Xenopus tropicalis: one gene and its partner. The protein of the gene in region 1 interacts with the protein of each later gene in a biochemical or structural test. Links are inferred from orthologs where the notes say so. Each region holds a gene or a part of one and is shown on either strand. Other genes may lie near its edges. The genes, in order: dapk3 and pawr.

Evidence for each region.
Region 2: of the proteins of dapk3 (region 1) and pawr, one has a biochemical effect on the other in vitro, tested with the Homo sapiens proteins (2 studies listed by BioGRID). The link is inferred for Xenopus tropicalis from reciprocal best matches to the Homo sapiens genes DAPK3 and PAWR.

Annotation. Positions count from the first base shown.
Region 1 is NC_030677.2:93,134,613-93,139,168, forward strand, and holds the start of dapk3 (death-associated protein kinase 3), read left to right. Parts: upstream 1-1,506; 5' UTR 1,507-1,550; coding exon 1,551-1,612; intron 1,613-4,556. UniProt on the Homo sapiens protein: Serine/threonine kinase which is involved in the regulation of apoptosis, autophagy, transcription, translation and actin cytoskeleton reorganization. Involved in the regulation of smooth muscle contraction.
Region 2 is NC_030679.2:62,535,397-62,539,797, reverse strand, and holds the start of pawr (PRKC apoptosis WT1 regulator protein), read left to right. Parts: upstream 1-1,596; 5' UTR 1,597-1,886; exon of another isoform or gene 1,887-1,971; intron 1,972-2,058; exon of another isoform or gene 2,059-2,208; intron 2,209-4,401. UniProt on the Homo sapiens protein: Pro-apoptotic protein capable of selectively inducing apoptosis in cancer cells, sensitizing the cells to diverse apoptotic stimuli and causing regression of tumors in animal models.

The DNA of each region.
Region 1 (4,556 bases):
GTGAAAGTCGGGGACAGGGCCCCGTGAACGAGGATAAGCAAGCATAGCAGAATATTTAATAGCACTCTCTAGGAGAAGTGAGCATAGTCAGTTTTAGCTAGAAAGGGCAGACATTAGCCCCACCAAAGGAGACACTAAGGGTTTAGCCTACCCCAGGCTCTGTATGCCTTGCTGTAGGGACCACAGTTAAGACAAAGGATTCAGGCTAGTATTAACCCCTGAACCACCGTTGGCTGTAGGGATCCGTTCCAGTAAAGGGCATCCATCTTGGGACTCCTGGCTACTACCTCTGCATATATCCATTGTGGGCTACACTGTCTCTGTATGTCACAACTGCTGCTAACCACTGTGACATTCTATATCAACTGCTTGTGAGTATGTGATTACCCTGCTTAACACCTGTGGTGTGTAACAATAAAACTGTATTATAGTTCACCATAAGAATCCTCTGGCGTCCATTTATACTATCACACCACACAACCTCAGCATGTTGTAGTTCAACTACACCCTCAGCTCCATAGTACTTCACCCACTTAGCAGAGGCCCATGCCTAAGAATTAAGGGTTGCATGTAACACATGCTCTACATTACGCTACTAGCCTGGGTTTGCCTTATCTAAGTCAAAATAGTGTTACACAAACACTGCTAATTTGTCTGAAGGGGTTGCCAGCCTAAGGGTGAGTTAAGAAATAGTTTCCCGTGTCAGACCATTATAGTTCTTTTTCTTCAGGATCATGTATTTCTGAGGAGGAAAAAATACAAATATAAAGTTCTGATGTTTATGTTTTTGCTTTAAAACCAAAGAAGAAGCATTTTAAAAAAAGATGGGCTAATTTTTTTCTCCTCATCATATATGATGGATTACATCATCCATGAGATGCAAAGAACTATGTCTTTCTAACACAATTTTTTTTAAAACTTATGTTTTTCTGGTCAGTGACAGCACACAGAACTCAATGTGGTGCTCAAAATAAAAGGGTAATTAATTTTCTCTATATGCATATTTTACAAGTCTTGATTAAGCATACATAATCTCTTTAGGTGAAGAGTTTTGTATAAAATGTAACATAGTAGGTGAGGTTGAAGAAAGACTGGTGTCCATCAGGTTTCACCTTTTTTGCCTGTGGAGCCTGCCTAACAGCTATCATAGCTGTTAGGCAGGCTCCACAGGCAAAAAAGGTGAAACCTGATGGATACCAGTCTTTCTTCAACCAACCTCCACATTATGTGATCCGTAAAGCGCTCTACGCTATTCTCTTTTCTCTTTCAACTCGTAAATCCATGAAAGGTCGGCAGCCTCTTCAGTGCCTTTTATAAATCCGATGTACAGGACCATTCATGAACTGTAGACACAACAACCTGGACAAAGTAAACATATGACCACGCCTCTTTACTTCACAGCCAATCAGCTTGCGAACTGGGCAGGGTTGACGTCATTGCACAGGCATTTCGGTAACTGGAAGCCGGAAATAGGGAGGAGTGGGCTTGGGAGAGGTAGTTGAAGCACAGAAATCGATCGGAGAGGAGTCCCGATTTTATTTTTTGACAGAATGAGCGGATTCCGGCAGCAAAATGTCGATGACTTTTATGAAATGGGAGAGGAACTGGGCAGGTGAGCAGGGTCGAATTTCCACAAGTATGCTCTAGCTATAATTTTAGTTAATATTTGATTTTACTCGCGTCACGTTACTTTGATGTACCTCTAGTTTTAGATGTTTGACCAACGCCTTTTCCCCCCTTGGTCTTTAAAGCGTCAGCATTTTGTCTGTGGTAATTTCTTCATTTAAATAATAATTCCCCTGAGCCAGCTACTGTATGAAATTATTCGGTATACACATATATACACTCAGTATTGAGATGACTGGGCTTAAATTCTAATGGCCTGCTTTCTGGGTGTTCTGTACAGAGAACCTCTAAATGGAAATCCTAGTGAGTGTTGGTGTTGTTCATATAGGAACCTAGAGTTATTCTAGGAATTAACTTTGCAGCTCTGATTTGTGCAGAATTAATTGTACACATTTCTGTACTATGTTTGTATGTATGTATAACTTTATTTATAAAGCGCCACAAGGGTACGCAGCGCTGTACAATCTTACAGAATACAAAATTACACACAGGGAGGATGAGTGATATAATAAATAAATACAATAAATACATATATGTATATATATATATATATATATATATATATAAGTGCCATGTGGTATGAGACACAGTAGGAAGGAGGTCCCTGCCCCATAGAGCTTACTATCTGTAGTAAGAAGAATTTGAACTATAGTAAAGGTGACCATGGGAACCAAATTTTGTGTCCAATACCGGAGGGCTGTGGCACAAGCTTTGTCTGCATCAGAAAGACAAAATGATCCTTTCAGTGTTCCTAATGCTTCTGATTGTAAAGTGCTGAAGTGTCTGATGTACGTGGAGCTGTGACAGGTATACCTCTGCACCTAAACACCAATATGAGTGTTTTAATATTGGGGTCTACCTGCACTGCTTTGAGTGCTTCCACTGGGGCATCTGGCATTCAGTATCATTAGGAGCAGTGACAGAACATGGCTGGAGAAAACACCCTGTGGCCACTGCCCTTGGGTTTAAAATCCCTGGGATAGCATATGTATGGAGATGGCTGAAAAGTGTGCAGTATAAAAACAGCAGATTAGTTTCTTCAAGCGGAGAAAAATAAGACCAGAATCCAGCTTCATCATTGTAGAAAAATATTGCAATGTTCTTTTAAAGGACATGTAAACCCCCAAAATAATTTTTTTTGGCTTAAGAAAATAAACCATTATTCCAAGCAACTTTTCAGTGTGAATTAACTTTTTTTACTAGTTTAAAAGTTGTTTGTAAATGTTACTGTTTAAACAATGTTGAAAAGGTCAGTCTCCTCCAGCAAGTCAGGTCTGTAAAATCTGCTGGGTTGTGTTACATTGTTTCAAATGCCAGAGCCACCAGGGCAGAGAAAAGAAAAGGACAGGCAGACACTACTCTTATAGCAATTATATATACAAATAATTCAAAAACCATTGCAAATTTGTAATGAATGCATATTGTAAAGTTGGTTAGAATGATGTTTTCTTTTTATTTGGCAAAAAGTTATATTTTTGGTTGACTTGTCCTTTATGTTGGCCATACATAAAATGTAAAGGTAAAAATTTGTAACTGATTTTACAATCTATATGGTTGTTTGTTTACCTTAATCAAATGTGCAGCATAAATACAATTGATCAGATAACCTTGTCAGCTGTGAACTGTACCTATTGGTACCATCTGTCCAGGCCTATAAGCAGCACTTTGGACCAGATATTGCAGCTATAAAATTTTTTACATAAAATCTTTGCTGTCCTGGACCCCACCAGTCTAAATGTATTGTTCTACATGATGGTGACCCCGGCTAATGTTAGTTCAACCAAACATTACATCAACAGAGTTGATGCCAGTATCTCTCTATTTTTTTTTTTTTCTCCTGTTTACACAGCTATCTTTTTGTGTTTTGCCTGTGTTTGGACCATGTGTCTAACATCCCTTCAATGAAAACATGATTTTTCATGATTAAAACAAGAGTCAAAATGTATATTCAATGAGGTTAGGGACCTCAGATCTTGCTAGCTCCAACACTGTGCGCAGCTTGGGTTTACTAATTGATGGGGAATTAAACTTCAGGAGCCAAATTTCAGCTGGGGTGAAACATTCCTTCTTTCACCTAAGGAATATTGCAAAAATTAAACACCTCATTCCTTCTGAGGTTCTTCCAACCCTAGTTCACGCCTTCATCTCATCACGACTGGACTATTGCAATGCCCTCTATGCAGGCCTTCCAAATAAAGACTACACCGCCTGCAGCTAGTACAGAATGCTGCCGCAAGATTGCTAACCAGCCAACCCCGCCATTGCCACATAACACCAATCCTTCGCTCACTGTACTGGCTACCCATAAAATGGAGAATCCTTTTCAAAATTGGGATGCTAACATTCAAATCCCCACATGGCCTGGGCCCCGGATACCTGAAGGACTTGCTGCAACTACGTCACACCTCCCACAATCTTAGATCAAATGGATCCAATAATCTGACCACCCCCAGAGTTCAACTGAAAACCTTTGGATCCAGAGTTTTCTGTCATGCTGCCCCTACCCTGTGGAACGCCTTGCCAAACGGGATCAAGACAGCTCCAACCTTGGACACATTTAAATCAAAACTGAAAAGCCACCTGTTTAGCCTGGCATTTATGGCCACATAACTTATCTGAGACAAGCTTATGCGCTTTGGGTCCCACGGGAGAAAAGCGCTTTGCAAATGTTTGTTGTTGTTGTTGTTGTTGTTATATTCAGCTTAAGACCTATTTATCTATATGGGGAGTATACTGGGCATTTAAATAGCCCTGTCTCAAAATAGCATGAAATGTTGCCATTATGATCCCCTAGTGGATTTCTACCCCATAATTATGTTACTTGACATTTTGGGAGGTTATTACAAGATTTAAATACAAGCTCTCATTACTATGTTGATGGTGAACAGTAAGTGGCTATTTTCTTTTTACATCTTTTACAAATATGGCCA
Region 2 (4,401 bases), on another chromosome or scaffold:
TAACAAAACACTAGATCATTATTTATTCGTCCCACAGTGCATTTGTAGTAGGCATTAGCAATCTGATCATACTAAACTACTATCACAAAGTTCCTGGAGAAGGCATTCAGAGGTGGATATCTTTCCTATAAGGGCCATGCATTTTCTACGCTTGCTTATCTATGCCGAGGGAGAAAACACAGATCTGCTTCCTTCCGCCCAGACATCACTGTGCACTGACATAAGCAGCATGGACCTGTTAGCGACATTCCTATAATGATTTGTTATTAAATCACCATAAACTTAAGTCTACTAAAAAAAAAACACTTAAACATTAAACAATAGGATTTTTTACACACTGACTGTATATTGTACATATATATTTCATGAATCTGCTTTCTTGTGGCTGGTGTCACACTTGGGCAGATTTGTGTAAATAGATGAAATAATATCCCCTGCTGTGCTACCAAACCAGGACACTTTATGCTGCATCCGTTGCCAACGGCTATTTGCCAGCCTAGCAATCATTGCCCAATAAAGCAGGCAGTTCATACAGAATCTTTGGCACCTAAATTACTTTAAGGCAGGTGTGCAAGTGCCCCACGGCCTTACTTTCACATAACAGAGAACCCTTTGAGTTTCTAGGGTTTAATGTATCAGATCATGCACCTAAGCAGAATGTAAAATGCTAACAATTGAATGGCAGTCATATGAAGCACCTGGCACTGTAACAGTTAAACATTTTCTCAAAAAATACCTCCTTTTTATTTTTTTCAGTTAATAACAATGGCACAAAGAATGCTGGGCAAGGGACAACCCAGATCAGATTAGGGGGCCCATTCATGAAAGCACGATAATTTTCCCCAGAAAAAAAAACTTATTTTTTCTAATTTATAAAACTTTTCGTAATGACCATGATAATGTTGTTAAAATTATGCAACTTTTTCACAGTTTGCGTTATCTTCCATGAAAAAGTCGTATTTTTCGCAAAGACTACGACCATTTCGGAATTCATTCAAGCTTCAGTATTGTGACTTTCTTTTGGCCAGGTTGGAGCTGCAGAGTGCCATTGAGTCCTATGGAAGGCTTCTAAAATTATACATGAAGTTACAAAACCAGTAAGGTTTACGAAAATGGATACGAAAATTTAGTGACTTTTGGATAGCAACCACCAATTTTCATACGACCAAGAAAAGAATTTTCTTGCAATTTTCGCACATCAGAAATTATCGTGGTTACTCCGAATTTTTTCCAATAGTGCTTTTAACTAGTGAAAATTTGTGGTTTCATGAATGGGCCCCTAGACGTGTACCCTGCTCCTAGAAATGCAATGTACATCTCCAGAGACATGATTCAGGGTAGCCACTGTTACCTGCCCCAGGCCAGTAATGGTTTATTGTCATGCTGGGGCCACAACTCTAGGCAGAGCAGACCCCCTAAAGTCTCACAGACACCTCTATTTCTCTAGGTCAGACCTCTATTTCTGCACGACCCTAGCCAAGCTGCAAGCTCTAACCCATGTCACTCAGGAATCTCACCGGTACCCCAGTCCCTCCCACTGTGGGTTCAGTTGCACAGGTAATTCCTTCCAAGCAACTCACAGCTTCCTGACCTACTGTCTGACCCACTGTCCAATAAGAAGCCGAAACTACAGCTTCCAGCAGCCCCTGACCAATGCGCAACGCACTGCAAAGTATTCCTACAGCAAACAGGAGTCTCCCATGCCTAACGAAGTTTTTGTCAAAAGCCGTCTGCTTAGTTCGAGGGAGTTTCGATAACATTCGTTACGATTTCTAAGCCCGCCTCCCTGTGCCCGCGGGAGATCGGCCATCTACGGAACTGATCGGAATGTCTCGGCTTCTTCCGGGACGAGGGACTGAGCGAACAAACGAGCGAGAGCTGGAGAGGTGAGTAAAGGAGCGAGAGGCGTCGCACCTTGTCCTGGGAATTCCGAACTCGTGTCACATTGGATTCTCCCCCCGCTCAGCGCAGGTAATGGGCTCGCTCATGCCAACTTGCCGGCCCACCTGGGGCAGCTCACTTCGTGGGGGGATTATTATTTCTACCATAAGTTTGCCTTATCTGCTACTTACTGATGCGCTCCCTTTAAGCGCTGTAGTTAACCTGCGGCGCAGCAGCTGTTGTTGGGTTCCAGCTCCCGGTGTTTGTAGCTGCTGCCGTGCGATGCTAGGGATTGTAGTGTTGGAGCAGCGCAGGGAAGTGCATCAGGTGGGAGAGCAGTTTCTGTAGCGCAGAACTATTTTGTAATCAGGCAAAAGTTTACAAAGAAATTGTTGCTTGAAGGGCAAATCATTGACTATAAACTATTGGTTTGATCTGAAACGTTCAAAGGCCTGGAGCTGAGGTACAAAGTGAGTGGTGGGAGCTCTGGGGCACAGAATCGTGCTTACATTGCTAACCAACCCGCTTAGATTGCAAGCTCTGTGGGGCAGGGACCTTCTTGTCTCTTAATATTCTGTCATTGTGTTTTCGTGGTTATATTTTATGATTGTATTGTTCCCAGTGGGTTCTGTTAATGATTTGTTTTAATGTACAGCTATAAGTAGGACTGTATAAATGCCAATACACACATATATACCAATGCAGTGTTTGTCTCCTTTAGTGGATTGATAGGGAATGTGGCTAATGGCTTGCTCAGTGACGTGCTGCTGCTGTGACAGGCTGCTCTGTGCTGGCTAGCTGTTAATAATCTGTCACTAGGGAGCTTTGTTGTCTGACATTTAACAAGCCACTCCAAATTATTTTTTTCTATGGGGCCGTGGTATGCATTGGCACAGGTACCACAGTCTGGCATTGTATTGTTTCATAAACCTACACCCATTTGGCAGCTTATTAGTGGTCATGTGCTGGCCAGTGTGGTCTGTTTTCAGTCTGGCAATTGCTCCTTACCTGACAAGTGTTACACATAGGATACCCAGACCTTTTTAAGGGTGAAGACACACTGGGCTACTAGTAGCCGCTACTTTTTCAAGGCTACTAAACTGCAGAAAACACCCTGCCATAGACAATACTGAGAATTGCCTCTGCTAAAACACACAGAAAATTATCAGTAAATGATCAGCATTGTCTATTTTAGTAGCCACGACAAGTAGCTGCTACTAGTAGCTCAGTGTGTCTTCAACCTAACTGTGTAATATAGGCATAGCCCTGTCCACCCATAGAATAACCACCATTGACAAAATTGTGATTTGAGGCACAAATGTTTGTGATCGTTTATTAGCATGCAAAGTTGTCATGCTGGGAAATAAACACAGAATTATTGGAAAGAATCAAGGACACAACCTGTTGGTAAATAAGCAGCTGTAGTTGCAAATGTGACTGTAGGGTCATGAAAGAATAGCTAGAAGTGCCCATAGATAGGTCCCAGGAGTTGGCAGCTACATTTGAAGCTTTGTGCAATAGTAGCTGTCATGTGAAACAAGCCACAGCATGTACCTGTTGCTGCCTAGCTAGATGTGACTGACAGAGTAGCCAGTGTTAGCTCAGATGAGAGCGACAGAGCAGCCAATTCAGCAGTGGCCAGAATGCTCTCTCCCGCCCTCCCCGCCCGCAAAACAACAATTACCCCTTTTCTGTAGCTTTGTAAAAAAAAAAATGCTATTGTAAAAAATAAATATTCTGAGAATAAGGAAAATGAAGATGCAGATGCTTTTCAGTTTGACGAAACAAGCAGCACAGCATCAGTACCTTTGTATACCAAATAGCTGCAGTTGTAGTCAGGGTTTTGGATAAGGAAGGGCACATGCAACAGGGCAAAAGATCTGATTGTTGTGATGGCAGCAGAAAATTGAATAGAAACGGCATGTGCTTTGTATTACTGGCACAATTCAGATATGCCCCTTAAGCTGGTAACAAGCTGTGCGTTTGATGTCCAGTTCTCATGATTTTTTTTTGGCTGCTGAGTGGAGGTTTGCTTATCTTTAAATTCTGGGACACCAAAACATTGTTAAGGAAAAGGCTGTTCTTTTCCTTGCTTCCTCCCTGTAAATTTGATTTATTTAATCCTTGTTACTTCAGAGACAAGCAATACATTACTTTGTTTCAGCAGTTAAGGCATTTTTTTTTTTTTACAATAGCCTGATATCCAGCTGTTAAAGGCATAGTTTACCTTTTAGTATGATATGTTATGTCCTATTCTTAGCAACCTTTAAATTGGATTTAATTTTTAATAGTTTTTGAGTTCTGTCTTTTTCCAGCTTGCATATGAGTGATATTGACCCTAGGAGTAAAAAAAACTATTGCTCTGGGATGCTTCAATTGCATTGGTACTTTGTATTGCTTATATCTCTCTTCAGCGACTCACCTATTCATCTTCCTTTCTCTCATTCAAACCACTTCCTGGTGGCTAGGGCAAATTTAGGAAGATGAACATCACACTTAAAGGGGTTGTTCACCTTTGGG